Mus musculus: one gene and its partners. The protein of the gene in region 1 interacts with the protein of each later gene in a pairwise test. Links are inferred from orthologs where the notes say so. Each region holds a gene or a part of one and is shown on either strand. Other genes may lie near its edges.

Region 1 (5,124 bases):
CCTGGCAAAACATTATCCCGAGGAAACGTTTGTGTCCTCTCATCTGGCTTTAGACTATTGACAAATAGACCCCAAGAAATTGGAAGTCCTCCAGGAATTTGCTGAGGGAAGGAAAAGGCTGAAGCCTTGTGTCAATTACAGGGTGAGCATGTCTCCCAGGAAGAAATATCAGATATCAGATACTTAGTCAGACCTCCTTGCAGAAGAGACTGGAGCGGAGACAGAGACAGTAGCTGGAAGCACACTTTGACCTACTGCTTAGTCATACATACATCCTGACCTCTATCTAAACAAGATGAACTTGGGGCACTAAACCTCTGTTCCTCTTCTTAACGTGGCCACATTGAATTACTCCCATTTCTAGTATTTCACTATTTATATGTCACTTTACCTGGCTGGTTGAGGACAGGTGTCCTAACTTGGCAGGATGGGGATGCTAGAGCCCAGGATCTAACCCTATCTACTGCAGAGGTGCCACCTTTTCCTTTAATTTCAAGTAAACATGGTATGTGCCACTAGTGTGTAGGAAGGTTGATTTTTAAAGGGAATAAGAATTGAAGGCGTTGCTTAAACAGTTAATTTCTGTCACATTACTTGTACTCTGCATTTGTGGTTTTATCTGCCTCCTTCCTTTATAGCATGCCAAACAAGCTGCTTGTCCCTTGTTTCAAATGCTTTTTTAGACTTCAATTTATTTATTTATTTATTTATTTATTTATTTATTTTTCAGGATTCAGAAGTCAACTGACTTCAAGGATCAGAGAAAGCATTCCCTCCTACGACCCCCCCCCCCTTTTAATACAGTAAACGCTTGATTTAGCTTCCAGTGCCCAACACAAGTTCAGAATACAAGAAAGGAAAAGCAAGGCACTCTGCTGGGGGAGGAGCTTGGCACTCAAATCCACTCTGCTATAAAACAGTGGTATTCTGCTCATCTCAGAGAGAAGTGGGAACGTGTTAAGTAACACAGAAATTGTCTCAAAGCCTGTGCATCTATCTGCGCGTGTGCTTGGATTGGAAGAAGAGTCTGTTCGCTGGAGCTCCACGCAGCCAGAAGTCGGAAAGGTAAGAGGTGTGCAAAATCTGCCATTAAGTAGGGACTAAGGAAGAAACTGCCTGTGATGGTCCCAGAGGGTGAATCCCACAGCCGCTACCTTCCTATCCTGTAACTCTATAGTAAGCCACTTTCTCAAGTGCAAAAAAGCCTTGAGGCAGCTGGTTTTCGACGGTTGGGGGATATTTATTCCTTGCTCCACAGATGGGGAAAAAAAAATCAGCGTCTGGCAGCCGCTGATTGGTGGAAAAGAAAATGGTGATAGTGGAGTGGGAATGAGGATTTGCTGAGCCTCCCCCTGCTTCTTCGACCTGTAACTCTTCCTTAGTCGGCTCCCCTTTGCACCCAGAACCCTTTTAGACTCCTCCGGGGTAAAAACAAATGGAAATCTTAAGCTGTGTGAACAAAAGCAACCCCAAGGGTGTGTGCTCCCTCTCCATTGCCTGGCTCCGCACACAGACCATTTCAGGCGGTCCAGCTCTCTGGTGTGGCATCTGGGCTCGTCCTGGAGGAGGGGGTCGCCTAGAGGAACTGGGAACAGACTGAGGCAGGGAAGGAGGGGGGTGGGGCAGGAGAGGCGCCAGCTCAAGTTCAGCCACGATAAAACTGAGGGCCCTCTGAACTCGAGGGGAGGCTCAGGCCGTCCTCTCTTCCTTCCATCCGGGGGAATGTGCTCCAGATACCCACAGCCCTCACGCACCGCACCTCCAACCAACCCGTCCCCTCCCTAGGAAGAGGAGCGAAGGCACGAGGCAGGCGAGGGGCGGGGAGAGGCGCTGACAAATCAGCTGCGGGGGCGACGTGAAGGAGCCAGGGAGCCAGAGCGCCCGGCAGCAGGCAGCAGACGGCAGGAGACCAGCAGGTGTTCCCCCTGCCCCTGCCTGCCCTTGCCTCTTTCATTGAAATTAGATTGGGGAAAACAGGAAGAATCGGAGTTCTTCAGAAGCCTAGGGAGCCGGTAAGTACCTGTAGATGGGGCAGCTCTGGGGATCTTAGCTAGCCGGAGCAAAGAGCCGGGACGCCTAGAGAAGACCAACTACAGCTGCTTTGGCGGTGGGGACTGGGCCAGTGCGTGGAAAGTACATCACTCGGCTTTCCTTTCGCTGGAGACATGCCCTTCCATCCTGTCAAAGCCCGAGGGAAAGGCCAGGTTGCCTGTGGCATCTGCTTTTTCAAGCGGAAACGCTAGGGTGTTTCATGTTGAGTGCTGGATGGTGGAAGCTTAGTGCTGGGCATTGGGTGGAATTTGAGCATCCAACTTTCATGCTCCAACCCCAGGCATTTCAGCTTCTTTCTGTAGAGGAAGAAGGGTGCCTTTGGCCCATGATTAATAGAAGTGCAGAGGACAGTAGGCAACAGGTGATAAAGGGTTAATGAGCATGGGGTGCAGGGTCTTCTAGAGGATTCCAGCTGAGGACAGAGCTTCTTGGTTGGGTGGTGCTCAAGTGAGACTGCTCAAGTGTATGGACAGCGCCTGCTCTGGGCAGATAGCAGGCAAAGAGCTAGTGGTGGGCAGAAGGTCTTGCAAGATTAGAAAGGCTGGGCTTCAAGCAGTTCCCTACTTCTAGATTAAACAGTTCCCCTCCCTTCCTTCTCCAAAGACTGACTCCTCTCTGGGTCTTTTATCCTCTTGCCCCCACTCCATCTCTGTACGCCCACCTCCCATGTTCCTTTTCTAGATAGTCTTTTTACTTTGAATGTAACCTTTGGGCCCTGGGAACTTGATGGGGTAGAGGATGCCCACCTCCCCTTCTGCAACTCTTCTTCTGAAATATGTATGTAAGAGCAGTCGAATGATCAAACTAGATCCATCCCATCCTTAAGTGACATGACTTTTTCCTAGTATTGAGTGACATAACTCAACAATCAATCAACACTGTGCCCAGCACCCCCACATCCCCCCACCCAAGAAATCACACTTACACCAGGACTTGGGGGAAGGCATACTGATTTTTCCCCCTCAATTTCCTTTCTTTCTCTAGCTGTTTTAAACCTTATTATTATTATTTTTTTACCCAAATTTTCTAATTCAAAATGTATTCTGTATTCTCTAGTGTGGAGCAAAAATACATCTTTAGCCATGGATGTGTTCATGAAAGGACTTTCAAAGGCCAAGGAGGGAGTTGTGGCTGCTGCTGAGAAAACCAAGCAGGGTGTGGCAGAGGCAGCTGGAAAGACAAAAGAGGGAGTCCTCTATGTAGGTAGGTAGTGACACTGTGACTAATGAATTGGGGTGGCTGGTGTGTGGTGTCTGATTCGTGTGCATCACAGCTTCTCAGAAGAGTGACAGCTGTGTGGAGGTGAGAGAATATGAACCTGCATATTAGCTCTCAGAAACAAACAGGGACAATGTTTTCTGTCCTTAGATTCATTAATCTTGTTATTTATGTAGGTTTTTTATTTGGTTTTCTGTTTCTGTGTATGAATACACTGAATTTTAAAAATTGGCAACCCATGAAAAATAACCAAGAATATGCTTATGAATCAAAGACATGTATGGCAGTAAGCCTGGTGGCATTTGGGAAGTGGAGGCCCAAGGACCAGGAGTTGATGGTCATCTTCAGCTACACAGAGAATTTGATGCCAGCCTGAACTATGTGAGAACACACACACACACACACACACACACACACACACACTCACACTCTCTCTCTCTCTCTCTCTCTCTCTCTCTCTCTCTCACACACACACACACTCACACACACACACAATACACACACACACACTCTCTCTTACACACACACATACACACATACACACATACACACACACACATACACACACACACACACTCACACACACACACAAAGAAATAAAGAAATAAAGGAAGGAAGGAAGGAAGGAAGAAAGAAAGAAAGAAAGAGAAAGAAAGAAAGAAAGAAAGAAAGAAAGAAAGAAAGAAAGAAAGAAAGTGAGCCACAAGTACTCATGGGACTTTGATTTCTTTCATCATCACTATAGGTAATACCTGCTAAGTTTAATAAATTATAAAGCTTTAAACAATAGTTTTGCATAATTTTATTTTACAACTGTGAAAATACAACTCCTTTGACCCTCAAATAGAAGAAAGAAAGCAAGTCTTCTTTGGTGGATCTCCTTTTAGGGATCACTTGGTCAGTGGGAACAGCGGGACTTAAGGAACTTCAGAAATGTTTGTTTAGTTCACCTGTCAGAGATCATACATGCTGAACAGTAAGAGGTTGATATTTAGTGCCATTTTCTGCCTGACTGTACACATTGAAAGGAAGGCCAACACTCCCTTTCTCTGTCTTTCCCTGTGTTAAATTGGCTGTAACTTTACAAATCCCTTCTAGTACTTTCATGGAAGGAATAGACACCCATGCACACATGCTTATCCCCAGCAGAGACACAGGTGCACATGGGAGCACAGTTGCAGGGTTCATCTACCTCTCTTTCCTCCTGTGAACACTGTTTCCACCTTCTTAGGAGGGCATCTCTCTTGGTGGAAGACTCAGGGTAAACATTCAGGCTGAAAAGGAGCAGAACAGGTGGCAAAAGTGATGCAGATGCTACCCAGAGTACCAATCGGGGGAAGCCATGCTGACCCTCCAAACGATCAGTGAGGAATTGATACTTGTAAACATTTTCATGAATGTGTCTTTTCATTGAAGTTTCTAGCAGATCACCTTTCCTAATTCTTCACAGAATAATTTTACATTGAATTAATTCTCTTTTTCTACTTAAAACATCCTTTCAGAAAGTCTTGTAATGAGTATTGTAAGAGAAGGGTGTCAATGAGCTAATTTTAGAGTGTTTTTTTTTTAATGAATTGTGAAGTATAATGTTTTAGATAGAATTCAGAATATAAAAGCAGTAATTTGTAGATTTGGGGAAAAACTCAATTCTTCCACAACTACAGGCTTGTGACTGATTTTTTTTTTTTTTACTTCAGTTGCTTAAGAAACATATCTGTAGATCACTAATTTAAAGCAAATTTAGAAGTTGTTGAATATTAATTTAGTATATTACTCTTTCTGGATAATAAATGGATTTTGTCAAGCAGAACACTTCTTTGTTTTTATTGTTAATTTTGAGTTTGGGCAAATAAA
Region 2 (4,568 bases), on another chromosome or scaffold:
AGGATAGCCAGAGCTACACAGAAACTTTCTTGGAGAGAGAGGGAAAAAAAGGTTGGGGGGGGGGTAGAGGTAGGGAGAAAATGGTGTCGAATGGTGGTGTAATTCACATTATGTTTTGGAGTTGTCATTGGTCATTTGTCCCCAAGGCTGAGAGTACTGCAGGAGTGATTTGTCATGGCATGAGCTATAGGAGCCACAGAAGAGTAAAGCTAGAGGCATTTCCACCTTCCTGAAGGTCCTGATCTGCTAGGCTGGTTGGCCCCAACTTGTCTTGTCCCTGTGGACCTGCCATTTGGCAAGGGTGGTATGGTGTCCCAGAGAGTACTGCTTTGGGGGTTCAGGGAGTTGCTGACATAACTGGTGAAGTGAGTCACCATAGCTCCTGGCTGGCAAGTTCAGCTCAGAGTCCAGGTCCTTAAAAGTAGTCAGAGGTCATTTTTCATCTGCAGATTCATTCTAGATGAAGTCATTTCTTGTGTGAGTGGATAAGCTGCCCTGACTGTAGGCAAGAAGAATAAGATATATTGCTTCTTACTATAGTGTTCCCAAAGATTTCTTGTGGAGTAGTAAGTGAAGTTCTTCCACCTAGATATGTCAGTGGCATTCCTGTTATTCTTACAGATCTGCAGCATCGGAGATTGGCTTTTGGCCCAGGTGTGGTCAGAGCAGCCAGCCATCTGACAGACCAAAATGACTTGTCTATGATTCTTGGGTGGCAGCAGACACAATTTGTTGGCTTTAGGTTGTCCCTATGCCTATAGGCCACCTAAGTGACTCATTCCTCGGCTCCCTGTGAAACTCTTGCATACCCCTCCCATCTCAGTTAACAAAGAGATTGAGTCACGGAGAGCTAGCCAGGCTTCTCAGTCCACAGCTTCTCTACCCAGCACAGAACCTGGTCATGCTTGGTTGTATCAGGCTCTATTTAAAAAAAAAAAAAGAAAAGAAAAGTACAAATCTTTTTCAAATAACTACAGTCCTTGGAGTATAGAACTGCTTTCCACTTAGAAACAACCTGTCGAGGAAGAGGGCTGTGTGGAATGTTAGGTCCTGGATGTACCATGCAGAAGCAGGGAAACTCCGAAGCAGCCTGGACCAGGTAGACTGAGGAACATTTATGTGGGAGCTTTTAGAGTAAAGCATGAAAGGGATGCTTACAGATAACACCGTCTTTACCTCCAAATTCCACAGCCCTAGTTATCGTAACATCGTCACAAATTAACAAAAACTCTGTGGCCCCAAGGGGCTGAGGGTGGCACCTGCCTTTAATCCTAGCATTTGAGAGACAGAGGTAGGTCAGTCTGAATTCAAGGCCAGTCTGATCTACAAAAAGGAGTGGAGAGTTTTCCCTTGGTTTAGTTGAGGGTCTTTGTTAAGCCTATGGTAGTTTGTTTGGAGATGATTGTGTCCACATTAGAACCACTGGTGAGAAACTGTTGAGGTGTGTGGGTAGACGTCAGGCTTGTCTGGCCTGAGATCGGGAGGAGAGAGAATAGGGGGACACTCAGCTGTCCTCCTCTTGGGAGACTCAGGCACGCTCCAAAAGGCCTATCAAACCGTCACAGAGAAGCATCCCATTGCTCTCTGTCTTAGTTAGCCCTGAGTGGGTAGAAGGAATGGGGCCTGCAGCTATATTGACTAGCTGGTGGGTACAATGGGTACAGGTAAAAATGGAAGGTAGAATGTCAAAGATGTTTTCTTACATGTTTTTGAATAAAGATAGTTTTTTTGTGTGTTGGTCAGCCAGCAGTACCTTCTCTTAATAGGAAGTACAAAGCACTATCATTTAGTCCGTCTTAGGAAGCCAGTACTATAAGGGGTAGGGTGTGGTGTGGTTCAGTGGCATGGTTTTGGCCATGTGCAAGGGTGTTGGATTCCATCCCTAGCACTGTTCCTGCCTCACAAAGATGTAATGGATATCAAATAACCCAAAAGCTTTGGGTTATGTGGTAGACACAGAATAATATATGTAACTTTGTTTGTTTGTAAGGTACGGACATTGCTGCGGGAGAAGAAGTTGCCATCAAGCTTGAATGTGTCAAAACCAAACATCCTCAGCTCCACATTGAGAGCAAGATCTACAAAATGATGCAGGGAGGAGGTAAGGTTCATGTTCAGTTCATGTCTACCATAGCCTACAGATGATACATAGCTTACAGATACATCGCCTACAGATAGAGCAGACCTCACACCCCAGAGGAAGCAGACTTAATGGGCTTTGCTTAAGAGCTCCCCCTATTAGCTTCCCATTAAATGATAATGTCTTTGAAAGATGGATTTTGTGTAAATTTCAAAGTAAACATGGTGCTCCTTGTCACAGCACAGTGCTTCCTGCTAGCTGGCTTCTTCTGGGTCACATGCTTTCCTTAGAACTTGAGGGTAGTCTCATAAAACTCTGAAGTTTCAGTTTTCTCTTGGATAGGAGTTTTGAACATAACTTCTCTGACTCCCAGCTAAGTCACTGTTCTCAGTTCTGTAAAACTTTACTGCAAGACCTTGGAGTACTAAGTAGTTTGCCTGATGAAACAGGAGCTCTAATTTGAGGCTTTCAAGACCATGAGACCCAACCCCACCTCCTAGGATAGGAGCCTGCTTGTGACAGGATTTGTATCTGAAAAACAAACAAACAAACAAACCACAGAAGCCTCTGTGGTGCTGTGATAGTTGGAATAGGGAGGAGAGCCCCCCACCATGTGACCATGTGACCCCCCCACCATGTGACAGACTCTTTATTGGCCTCAGCAGGAAAAGGGAAACTGTTGGTTTGATGTTTTGTTGCCCTCCCTCAGCAAAAGCAATTTAATTCTACCTCTCCTGGAAACCAACTTTCTCTAACAAAATGTCTAAGGCAGTAGCTGCATGCCATTGTGTGTCCATCTTAGTGGCCATTGTATTCCCTTAATGTCCATTGTATCCTATCCTGGGTATAGAATCAAAGGAGGCCATAGGTAGATGAACAATACCTGGTGACATCCACACATACCTTCCAAACATAGGGCTGGTGCACATATGAACTCACAGAGACTGTCTATGGGCCTAATCCAGATGGGTTCCCAGCCCCAAGAGAGGAAGTAGACACAAGCGACCATCCCTAAACCAGAAGCTATCTCCAACAGAGTATCACCAGTTATACAAAACAAGCCACTCTTAAGGATAAATGTCATGCCCAGCAGTAGATGAACAAGACAGCATGAACTCAATGGCATTTTTGGGTTCCTTGTCTCATAATGATTTGTTTGGACATTTTTGTTCTTTTTTCTTTTGCTTTTCCTGTCAGATCTTTTGCTTATGTTTTATGGTTTCTGGTGTTGTGTGTTAATTGGGAGTTCTCTGTGTGTCTCTGCATCTGTATGTGTTTCATGTGCTCTTTGGTTCTTTTGTTGTTTTATCCTTTTCCGTTTTGTTGGGTTTTATTTTTAACTTTATTTTCTCAAAAAGAGGTCAGCAGAGTCCCAGTCCTGTACGCCTGCCCTTTGGCACATCCTCAGTAGGACAGTCTTCGTGAGGGCATTAGCTTTTGTAACAAGTGGAGTAGAACAAAACAGCATAAGAATTAAGCTTAATGCATGAAGGGGTTATAATAAGTTCTGAAAATGTGCTAGCCTAGAGTGCCTAAGGGTGCTGCAGCCTGATAGTGGTCAGAAAGGAGCATAGTGGGCTCCAGAGAGGCACGAGGTTCCAGCATCCCTGCCATGTGCTATGGTTACTGCTCTTTTTTTTTTTTTTTTTTTTTTTTTAAAGATTTATTTATTTATTATATGTAAGTACATTGTAGCTGTCTTCAGACACTCCAGAAGAGGGAGTCAGATCTCCTTACGGATGGTTGTGAGCCACCATGTGGTTGCTGGGATTTGAACTCTGGACCTTCAGAAGAGCAGTCGGGTGCTCTTACCCACTGAGCCATCTCACCAGCCCTGGTTACTGCTCTTTGTGCACTGTGTCAGTTGCCCTCCCAGGTTATGATTGGAGAATAAAGTTGTGGATAGTGCAGGGTACCTACTGCTGGGTAGCATTACTCACTGTGTGGGCCCTTAATCACTTGCCCATATCCCTTCTCTAGATGCCTGGAATCCACACAAGATTGAGAAGTGGGTGGCAGCCTTTCTTGGCCTTTGAACATTGTTCTGGCTTTGGTCAGGTTTTACTCTTGCTGCCTACTTACTGTGTAGTCCTGCAGGTCTCTGTTTTAGGAAACAGGAAAAGGATGCACAGTTACAGCAGTTTTTAATTATCTGAGACTAGATGGGGGGGGGGGGGTGCACTTTGCTCAGAAACCACAAGGTATTGCTCCCTGACAAGTGTCATGTTTTTCTGTATGTAGGTGGTATAGGTCACTTTGCTGCCTTCTGAAAGGAACAAGTGCTGCTTTGGTTGTCTAGATCTTGTTTACCTTGGCTCTGGCTATGCAAAAAAAAAAAAAAAACCAAGAAGGAAAGCATGATTGGCTGAAGCGCTGGGAGACCGTGGTGTCACGGTGTCTGATTGAGAGCTGCCGTGCTGGGCGAAAAGCCAGCTTGCGGTTCTGTGTGGTCACTGTGCAGTGGGTGCTACAGAAGGCAAGATGGTGG
Region 3 (5,325 bases), on another chromosome or scaffold:
ACCGTGTGTACAGCTGGCAAAGTGGCCTGGTGCTTTAGTTTCTGATCCTGATACTTCCTTGGATCCATCACATTTCAATCCCAGCCTAAACAGCAGACAGGGTGGGGGTCAGGGTTTCCTTAAAAAAAATTATCTAGGGTCTTATGTACTTCAGGCCTGCCTTAAATTCACTATGTAACCAAAGATGACCTTGAATTCCTGAGCCTCCTGCTTCTACTTCCCAAATCCAGAGATTAGAAAGGTTACATCACTATACCAGTATAGCTGTTTTCCTAACTCCTATGAACTATCCATATATATATATATATTTTTTTTTGAACGAAGATAGGAAGATCATTCAAATGGTGAGGGTTGTCTGCAGCAGCAACATGCTGTTCCTAAAGACTGCACATTTCCTAACCTTGGAAAAGGCCCAGCTCTGGGTTGATGAATACACAGCCTGAGGCATCTACCAGGCCTGAGATGGCAAACATGGCACTGGCGGGCCTTGCCTTTCCTCTTTTTTTCTCCTTGCTAAGAACCGTTAGATTACATTCCTAAAGCTAGCCACCAAGGTTTGTTACGCTATTTGTCCACTTCCTGAGGCTAACATACTAAGGTCCAGCTATCAAAATCCACCCCCTACCTTGGTTCACCTAATTAGCATGCCCCATAAAATAAACTTATCCTAAAGGGGTTTCTTCTTTTACCTTTATGAACTGCCATTTGCCAATACGCCAAGGCTGTCTCTTCTCTATCCAGAAGCAGTCCTTTGTCCCTCTGGAGCAAATAACCCGTCCCCCTCTCCCTCCTTTTCACTTCTTCCTCTTGCTCTATCTCCTGTCTTTGTCTCTTATTCCCTGCCCTTTTGTCACTCTGCTGAGAACTTTGTGTGTCTTGTGCCAGTTCCTGTCCTTGTACAGCCTATATGAGGTCCCAACTTGACACCAAGACCGTTTTCAGAACATCCCTGAAGCTGCAGTGCTGCTCTGGTCAACATATTTCATCTCCAACTCCTTCATACAGGTGAATGCTAGGAAGTGCCTACAGCAGCCCTGCTGGGAAGCAACCAGTTGAACTGGGACAGAAGCTGGGGCTTAGCACTTGATACCAAAACCTGTTTTTCTTCTATTATGCTCTACCTAAGGTCATGTTTGCCAGCTGCTCCACCCTGACCGCTGTAAAAGAGGCACCTGCTCCCAAGCTCAAACCTTCCAGCTACTAATATTATCCAAGGTTTAACTGGAGCCCCAAGCACTAAACACAGACTTGTTTCTGGTCTTTCTAGACTTCTCAGTTCTGACCCTGATAGAACTTGTTGCCTACAGGCAAGCACTCTCTCTCCGTGAACAGAACAGACTTTATAATTACAAGATTATCAAGCCAGTATGGCTTGGTGCAGACCTGTAATCTGAGCAGCAAGACGCTAAAACAGGAATATCTCCAGTTCAAGTCCAGCCTTGGACTACACAGTGTGCTCTAGGCCAGCCTGGGTTTCCCAGATGGGAGAGAGAAAAATGGGACAGCAGTTTCCTGTAGGTTATCACTCAGGGCTTGACTTTAGCTGAGAAAGAGTACAAACACACACTACTACTATGCAGGATCCATGAGGATGAGACCTGCTGGCTCTCCCATCCTGAGGGATAGGTGTGAGACTGGCCACGGGCCGGCAACGGTATGCTGGTGAGTCCGGTGGGTAAGCCCGATGCTCCCTGCGCAAAGCCTGGGGTTCCTATCCCACACTGCAGGACCCTAACTAACGCTGAGATCTGGGGAAGGTTTGCGGAGGGGTGGGAGTTGTCCGAGCGTCCGCGCATGCGCCTGCCGCGCCCGACTTCGAAATTGGAACCCGGAGAAACCAGTGGCGCCGAGGGACCTCACCGAGTGAAGGAGAACGGCGCGTGCGCCCGCTTGTGGGCGGAGCCTGGGCGCGGCAGGGGCGGGGCTTGTCGTCACGCGCAGCCCCGCCCCTCGGTCTCCGGGAGGCGGCAACCGCTACTCCTTGTCTCTTCCCGGTTGTCGGGGACTGCTTCACCTCAGTTCTCAGTGACTATGGGGGACCCCAGCAAGCAGGACATCCTGGCCATCTTCAAGCGCCTGCGCTCGGTGCCCACTAACAAGGTAACGGCCGCAGGCGGGCTTGGGACCCCGCGGCCCGCCGGACCCCGGTGTGGCCGCGGCCGTGGGAGGAGCCGCCCGGCCTGTGACACGTCGCACTGTGGGCCTGGCAGCCGCCGCTCCCCAACCTTCGTCAGCAAGGGGAGGAAAAGGGGGCGCCCACCAGGGGCTTAGCGCCTGGGGCACAGGGACATGGGCATCCGGAGGATGTCCAGGACTAAAAGGCAGAGAGCCTGGGGTCACAGGACTGGGGCATGGACATCTGGGATGTCTAGCATCCTAGGGCAGAGCGTCTGGGGTCACAGGGGGGGCTGGGACATGGACAGTTGGGGTGTCCGCCACCAGAGGCCAGAACACCTGGGGATAGACAGAAGACTGGGGCATGGACATCTGGAACAGGAGACCAGTGCATTTCATGGCAGAGAGAGGACTGGGGTATGGACCTCTAGGAGTGTCCAGGTTACCCAGACGCCAGACTACCTGGGGGCTTAGAGAGAAGGCTAGTTCATAGCATCTAGGGGTGTCTAGGGGTCTGGAGAACAGAGCACCTTGACCCAGAAGCACAGACATGGTAGGGTGGAGGAAACAGATGTTGGAAGTGTGTAGCTGGGCTCTGAGAAGGCTGGTGAGGCAGAGTTCACTCCTTCTGGCCTCTGTGAACAAAGGTAAAAATCCCAGCCACCTAGACCCAGGGGTCAGAACTCTAAGTGGTGCTAAGTTCTGGGAAAGAAGGGCTTCTCCCCCCACCATGGACCTTGTCTTGAGTGTTCTTCAGGGCTGGGGACCTGTTGGATTTTTGTCACCATTGTCCTTCGGTGGCAGCCTGTTTCCCAGTCCAGTAGAGCTAAGGTTCTCTTCCCTGGTTGCCAGCTCTCTGGGTTCCTGAGGAAGCTCACTAAAACTCACGTTCATCCCTCTGTAGGTTGAGGTCTGTCCCTACAATTTTTTTCTTCCCCTTATGTGACCCCCCCCACACACACACACACACAGACCCCACCCCCAACCACTGGGCCTCATAACTTTTAGCATGTGGCTGGCAGTGTTGTTTTGATACACAGGGTTAAGGTGTCTACTTCCTTAGGATGACGGAGTAGGGTGGAACCCGAGGAGTGCAAAGGGCTGTCGTGTCACTGTGGACTCTCCCCACCCCTCTCCAAGTTCCATCTGGTTGCCACCTTCACCTCTGAGGAACCATCTGTTAATGGGCACAGCCGTGATTACAGAGTCCTGCATGGCTGGCATAGAAAGTTCCAACATGTCACAAAATTCAGGCTTTTTTTTTTTTTAATGTCTTGATGGTGGAAGGGAGCCCTAGGTTTTTATAGCCTTATGATGAAGGAAATGGTTAAATGGGGGTGATAATGTCAGGTGGGTATAAGGAAGAAGAGCTGGCTTCCAGCCACTGCATTGTCCAGTGTCTGTCACTTGCTGGTTTCTTGTTTTTTGTTTATTTTTTTCAGATTTAGATTGATCTGTGTGTAGCAAGGACTTGCTTCTTACCACACAAGGTTGGATCTCCAGCTGGCAGGCTGGGAAAGTGCGTATGCTGCCACTTTCTCTGAGTTGCACGCCAGTGTGTATTCCCTTCGAATGTATCAAAAAGGCCACTGCTAAATAACAAAACAAAAAAGCAAGAAGCAACAACAAAAAAAAGGAAGACACTCCTTTTACATCAGAAGTCCCTGTCATCAATACCAGCAGACACTTTTAAGGAGCCCACGTGGGCTTGCTTGTGTATTAAAATGTTAGTTGAGTACAGTAGCACATGGTGCGACCCCAGCACTTGGGAGGTGAAAGCAAGAAGAACAAGAGTTCAAGGGCAGCCTCCGCTACAGAGCAAGTTCTAAGCCAGCCTTAGACTACATTAGACTACTTCTCCAAAAAAAAAAAAAAAAAAAGTAAAATTATTGTCCAGCTGGCCATGAGAGTACATACCTAGAGTCCCAGCCCTTGGGAAACTGAGGCGGTTGGATTTCCAATAGTTAAAGGCCAGCTTGAGGTACGTAGTGGTTTTTTGATTAGTATGTGTTACAAAGCAACACAAAATGCCTCAAAATGTAAACACCCAGACACACACGAAAGCCTGGTCAGACACTAAACCACATGAATGCAGCCCTCCCCCTTTTTTCATTTTATTCTGAAGAGCACACCTATAGAAACTTTATGTTCTATAATATGATATTTTTTAAATTATTGATTTTAAATATATGAGTCCTCTGTCTCTGTCTTCAGACACATCAGAAGAGAACATTAGACCCCATTACAGATGGTTGTGAGCCACCATGTGGTTGCTGGGATTTGAACTCAGGACCTCTGGAAGAGCAGTCAGTGCTCTTAACCACCGAGTCATCTCTCCTGTGATATGATTTCTAAAGCAAGATTCCAAAGTAGCTTCTGGTCATGTCTCATGGCACTGGCTTTCCTTTATGGTTGTGGCTTGAAGCCATTGCTGACTGGATGGATTTGACGTGAAAAGTGATGAAACTAGTTTCTGGTTTTGTGAGATGGGGTTTCTCTGTGTATCCCTAGATGTCCTGGAATCCACTCTGTAGACCAGGCTAGCCTCAAACTCACAGAGATTTGCCTGCTGCTGCCTCTGCTTCCGCAGTGATGGGATTAAAGCTGTGCCCCACCACGCCCTGCTGGTGAAAACTAGTTCTAATGACTAGAAGGACTGGGCAACAATAAGCTCCATCATTCTAGTGTAGTGCTGGGGTTTGAACCTAGGACCTGTGTACTCTAAACAGGCACTTTGCCATTGAGCAATACCTTCAGTTCGTTCTTCCTTCCTTTTTTCGTTTTTTCTTTTCTTTCTTTTCTTTTCCTTTCTCTTCTTTTCCTTTCTCTTCTCTTCTCTTCTCTTCTTTTCTTTTCTTTTCTTTTCCTTTCTTTTCTTTTTGAGACAGGTTTTGCCTATGTAGCCCAGGCCAGCTTTGAACTCACTATGTAACCCTAGGCTGGCCTTGAATTTTGCAATCCTTGCCACAGCTTTCTGAATGACAAAATTATGAGATGAGGATGGCTTCAAGCCACCCAGTCATCATGCCTAGCTTAACAGCACTCTTAAACTGCTTGAGTTGAGGCAGGAGGATTGCCAAATTCAAGGCTAGACCATATAACAATGTTCTTTCACAAATGAAAATTAAAAACAACAACAACAACAAAATAAGTACACTATGTAAAGACTCATCTGGGGTTGTAAGGACGTGCCCTCTAAGTAAACTTTTT
Region 4 (4,225 bases), on another chromosome or scaffold:
AGGTCACAGCACAAACCAACAGGAACTATTTAATCATTTATCTCCCCAGGGAGTTCATTTACAGATTAGCTTTCAAGTCTGGCAACCCTTAGCTCAAGGGAACCCACCTTTACCTCAGTCAACTCTACTCTGGTCATCTGGCCTCTACTGACAAGTGACCTCCTTGCCTTTACAAGAGCTACTGGAGGGAAGAAAGGTGAAGTTTCAAAGAAATGGGAAACTAGAGGCAGGATGGGGTCCCAGGGAAAACCTGGAGGTCTCTTACCCTGTAGTAAAGCAAAGTGCTTGCCCCGCCCTAGGCCCAGCCTATGGACAACTAAATTCTTGACATTCCGGAGTCCATGGTGCATGGCCCCTTCCACCTCACTTCCTTCAATGGATGACTTATTTTCCAGTCTGTCCATTTTCTACATATTCTAAGGAGACAGAATACGTCTCAGAAGCCGCAATATCCCCTATTCCAGAATGCAGTTCACTCTGAAGGGTAACAAACGCCTACCACGACAGCTACTAGTAATGGAACTCTCACCTCTATCTCACCCTGACTGATGAGGTGGCGAGCAGGATTCTGAAGAAAAAGCACTCATTGTGTCAGCCTCTGCTCTCTTTATCTTTGGGTCACAATAGTCTGTTAGAAACTAAGGCTCTAGAAGGTAAACCAGCCTGTCCAAGGTCACATGGCCAGTTAAGTGACAGGGCCAGGACTCACACCCACATACAGTCTGTCACCAAATCTTAATTTCCTATGGAGCCTCACAAACCAGGTTCTTGCTCTGCCAGCAAACAGTGCTTCAGTAAAGAGGCCCCAGGGCCCTGACCAGAAAAACACTGGGCAGAGCAGCTGGAGATCCCCAACCAATCCAGGGCAGCGAGGTGCAAAGTCCTGGGGCTTGATATGGCACAGGAAGGGCTCTACAAACAAGCCAACCATGCAGAAAGTTGCACACTTTGGGGAAAAAGAACTTAGGAGCACAGCACAAACACCATTGGCCCAGACCACCCTCCTCTAAAATCAGACAATACTCAGCCACTCTAGCCAGTGGGGGCTCCTGACTGGCCAAATGGTCTGAGTACCATGCATGCAAGTACACAGCAGCCTGAGGTTCCAGTTCTGCAGTTTCCTGGGTATTATGTTCATCACCCCAGCCAAGGTGACCCATTTCATGAGAGTGAGCAGAACGCGGGGAGAACTTGCTGCTCTCATAGGTTTTAAGCCAAGTAAACACATAGGCTGTTTTTCTTTGCTGAGAAATTGGAACAAAACTATGAAACTGTGGGGCCACAAGGGTAGCCAGGATGAAAGATACAGGTCCCTTAAAAATTGGGTCATCTATATTTCCAAAGTTAACCTCTTGTATTAAAATGAAGCCAGGAAGGTCTCCTGAACAATCGGTATCTTTAACAACCATGCCATATAACAGAAAGAGACCAAAAAGGGCAGTTTTAGGGATGTTCACAGAGAAGAGAGACACAAGCAAGGGGCGGACACACAAGGGGCGTGGTTCTTACCCAGCCGCCGTTCTCCTGGATCCAAGGCTCTAGGTGGTCATTCAGATAGGTGGCCATCCAACTTGCAATCCGACTCACCAATACCTGCATCTCCTTGTCTACGCTTTCCACGCACAGTGCCCCGCCAAAGGAGAAAAAGGCCACGATGCGACCCCAGTTTACTCCATCCCGAAAGAGTTCATTCACTACCTGCTCAAAGCTCTGATACGCGGTCCCTGGGGTTATGTGAAGCTGGGATGTTAGATCACTGAACGCTCTCCGGTACCGCAGTTCAAACTCATCGCCTGCCTCTCTCAGCGCTTGCTTCACTGCTGCCATGGGAATCACCTCCCGCGCATCCAAACTGCTGCTGTGGCCAGTGGCTCCATTCACGGCCGGGCTATCCGCCAGGTGCCAGGATGGGTTGCCATTGATGGCACTGGGGGTCTCCCTCTCTGCTTCAGTTTCTTCTGGGGCCTCAGTCCTATTCTCTTCGACATCACTAAACTGACTCCAGCTGTATCCTTTCTGGGAAAGCTTGTAGGAGAGAAAGTCGACCACCAGCTCCCGGTTGCTCTGAGACATTTTTATAATAGAGATGGGCTCAACCAGTCCATTGTCCAAAACACCTGCTCACTTACTGGGTCTGCTCTGTGTTTAGCGATTCTCTTCCAGGATCCAAAGCCAAGATAAGGTTCTGAAGAGAGAGAGAGAGCTTCAGGAGAAAAATTTAATATGCATGTCATTTACCTTACAATATTCCCATTCCTCCTCCAGGTACCAGAATTGCTTTCTTTGTGGCTCTTATGAAGGTCTGAGTCCGGGTTCTAAGGGACTTCAATGAAGTCAAATTGAAAGGACCAGCCAGCTTTGAATTGTTTCATCCGCCTCTTTTTACTACAACCACCCACCCCCTTTTCTCCGAAATGCCTTTCTCCAAAAGTCACCCCCATTGGCATATCCCCACCACCACCACCTACATTCAAATCTATCTCCGGCGACAGCAAGCAGGTACAACCCCCGGAAGGTCTTTTGTATCATAGGTCGGGGAGGAGGTGGTGGCTGGGTCGCCGGTAACTCAGCAAAAAAAAAAAAAAAAAAAAAAAACCAGCCCCGGCCGGAGGGATCATGCGACCTGGTAGGCAGCTCAGAAGGCGACAGAGGAATTGCGAAGCTTAGGAACCTGCCCCCTCACAACCTGGTTCCTCCATCGACCAGATCGAGGGCGGCCTCTCTCTGCTCCGCAGGCTCCAGCCACCCGGGAGCCCAACCCCCTCGCTCTAGCACGCCCCTTGGCTCTCCGCCTCCTACTGGGAGTCAGGAGAACTCTCCCGGAGGTATGGGTTTAGTGTAATTTCCCCCCACCCCTCCTTTCTTTCTTTCTATTTAAGTACCAGCCCTAGATGAGGCTTCCGAAACCCTAAAGGGACTTCCAAGTGAATCTCAAGGTTTCGCGCAGGGACGCGGACAGGGGGAAGACAGCCTCGGATCTGTGATCTGATTTCGGAAAGACCACTCCCGGGTTTTTCCGAGAGGCGTATGCTGGAGACCCCCCACAAACACCGCTAGTTGTCTTTGAATTCCCCAAAGGCCCTGGACACAGCACTGGGGGACGGCCAGGTCCTCCATTCCGCGCCCGGACACAATGGCCGCCGGCACCCCACGCACAAAGACGGGGTGAGAGAGAGGCACTGAGCCCCGCCACCGGCCAGGAAGAAGGGTCGGGGCTCCCACAGTGGAGACCTCGTTTTTCCTGAGGCCGAGCCCAAGGCGGCCTTCTGGAGCCCCCTGCAGGGCTCGAGGGCCGGAGGCCGCTCCGCGCCGGAGCCCCGGGTGGGTGGGCTGAGGCCTCGCTTACTGCTCGCGCTCCCCTAGGCCGGGTACCCGCCGAGCCACCGCCCCGTTGCTAGGCAACCGCCCTCCCTCAGGGGCGCCCCCTAGACCTCTCTGGAAGGAGGGGTCTCGCCCCCGCGGCCCGCCCCAGCTTAGCCAATCCGCGGGTCGAGTCGGCACGGAAGCGGGACGGCAAAGGCTCCCATTGGGCCCAGCGCCTGTCAGGCACAGGGGAGGCGGCGCTCTCACCTGCGAGCCCCAGAGAGCCGTGGGGGGCCACATCCCCCCTTCATAGGCCCAGTGGCTTCCAGACACTAGGGCGTTTTGCGGCTGGGAAGTATGCCGCGGACTTAAGCCTGCCTACCTGGCTGACTGCTCGTGCTGAATCTCCCGGAGAAGCCGGCCTCAGTTTCCCCTGAAGAGACCGGGGGAACTTGCAAGCGCAGCCACTTCCGGTGCCGCGGCAGCGCGCGCGAGCCCGAGACGCAAAAGGAGTGCGCGCCAGAAAGGGACTGGCATCGAGACATGGGAGAGCAGCGACCCCTGGCGAGCGATTTGAGGAGTCTCAGGCGCGTGGAACGTTTATGGTTCACATTCCTTCAATCTAGTTCCTTCATCCATCTGTCCCTTTGTATACTACAGAAAAAGTGCTTTTTCCTTTCGATGTCGGTGTCCAACATCGAACAGGTTTCTCAACTTGTGTATTTCCCCCCTCACTTTAAAAATAGACAGCAATATTGACCTTTCATTGACTGTGTATCAGGTACTACTTGAAAAGCCTGAAGAATAGAAAGCCCTTAGTTTGGTTTGTTGAAGACACAAGGCAAGGCAATGTCTCTGTTTTTATGAAGACTTATACCTTACGGGTGGAGACACCCAACTAGGAAAATACACAAACAATGTA

What was found.
Region 2: the proteins of Snca (region 1) and Csnk1d interact in binary tests that used the Homo sapiens proteins (3 or more experiments, as listed by UniProt). The link is inferred for Mus musculus from reciprocal best matches to the Homo sapiens genes SNCA and CSNK1D.
Region 3: the proteins of Snca (region 1) and Arfgap3 interact in binary tests that used the Homo sapiens proteins (3 or more experiments, as listed by UniProt). The link is inferred for Mus musculus from reciprocal best matches to the Homo sapiens genes SNCA and ARFGAP3.
Region 4: the proteins of Snca (region 1) and Bcl2l1 interact in binary tests that used the Homo sapiens proteins (3 or more experiments, as listed by UniProt). The link is inferred for Mus musculus from reciprocal best matches to the Homo sapiens genes SNCA and BCL2L1.

What each region holds. Positions count from the first base shown.
Region 1 is NC_000072.6:60,825,612-60,830,735, reverse strand, and holds the start of Snca (alpha-synuclein), read left to right. Parts: upstream 1-1,731; 5' UTR 1,732-2,012; intron 2,013-3,108; 5' UTR 3,109-3,134; coding exon 3,135-3,255; intron 3,256-5,124. UniProt on the Homo sapiens protein: Neuronal protein that plays several roles in synaptic activity such as regulation of synaptic vesicle trafficking and subsequent neurotransmitter release.
Region 2 is NC_000077.6:120,980,766-120,985,333, reverse strand, and holds part of Csnk1d (casein kinase I isoform delta), read left to right. Parts: intron 1-1,990; coding exon 1,991-2,101; intron 2,102-4,568. UniProt on the Homo sapiens protein: Essential serine/threonine-protein kinase that regulates diverse cellular growth and survival processes including Wnt signaling, DNA repair and circadian rhythms. It can phosphorylate a large number of proteins.
Region 3 is NC_000081.6:83,346,856-83,352,180, reverse strand, and holds the start of Arfgap3 (ADP-ribosylation factor GTPase-activating protein 3), read left to right. Parts: upstream 1-1,933; 5' UTR 1,934-2,031; coding exon 2,032-2,100; intron 2,101-5,325.
Region 4 is NC_000068.7:152,827,918-152,832,142, forward strand, and holds the start of Bcl2l1 (bcl-2-like protein 1), read right to left. Parts: upstream 2,801-4,225; 5' UTR 2,469-2,800; exon of another isoform or gene 2,270-2,468; intron 2,204-2,269; exon of another isoform or gene 2,186-2,203; 5' UTR 2,074-2,185; coding exon 1,510-2,073; exon of another isoform or gene 530-1,509; intron 1-529. UniProt on the Homo sapiens protein: Potent inhibitor of cell death. Inhibits activation of caspases. Appears to regulate cell death by blocking the voltage-dependent anion channel (VDAC) by binding to it and preventing the release of the caspase activator, CYC1, from the mitochondrial membrane.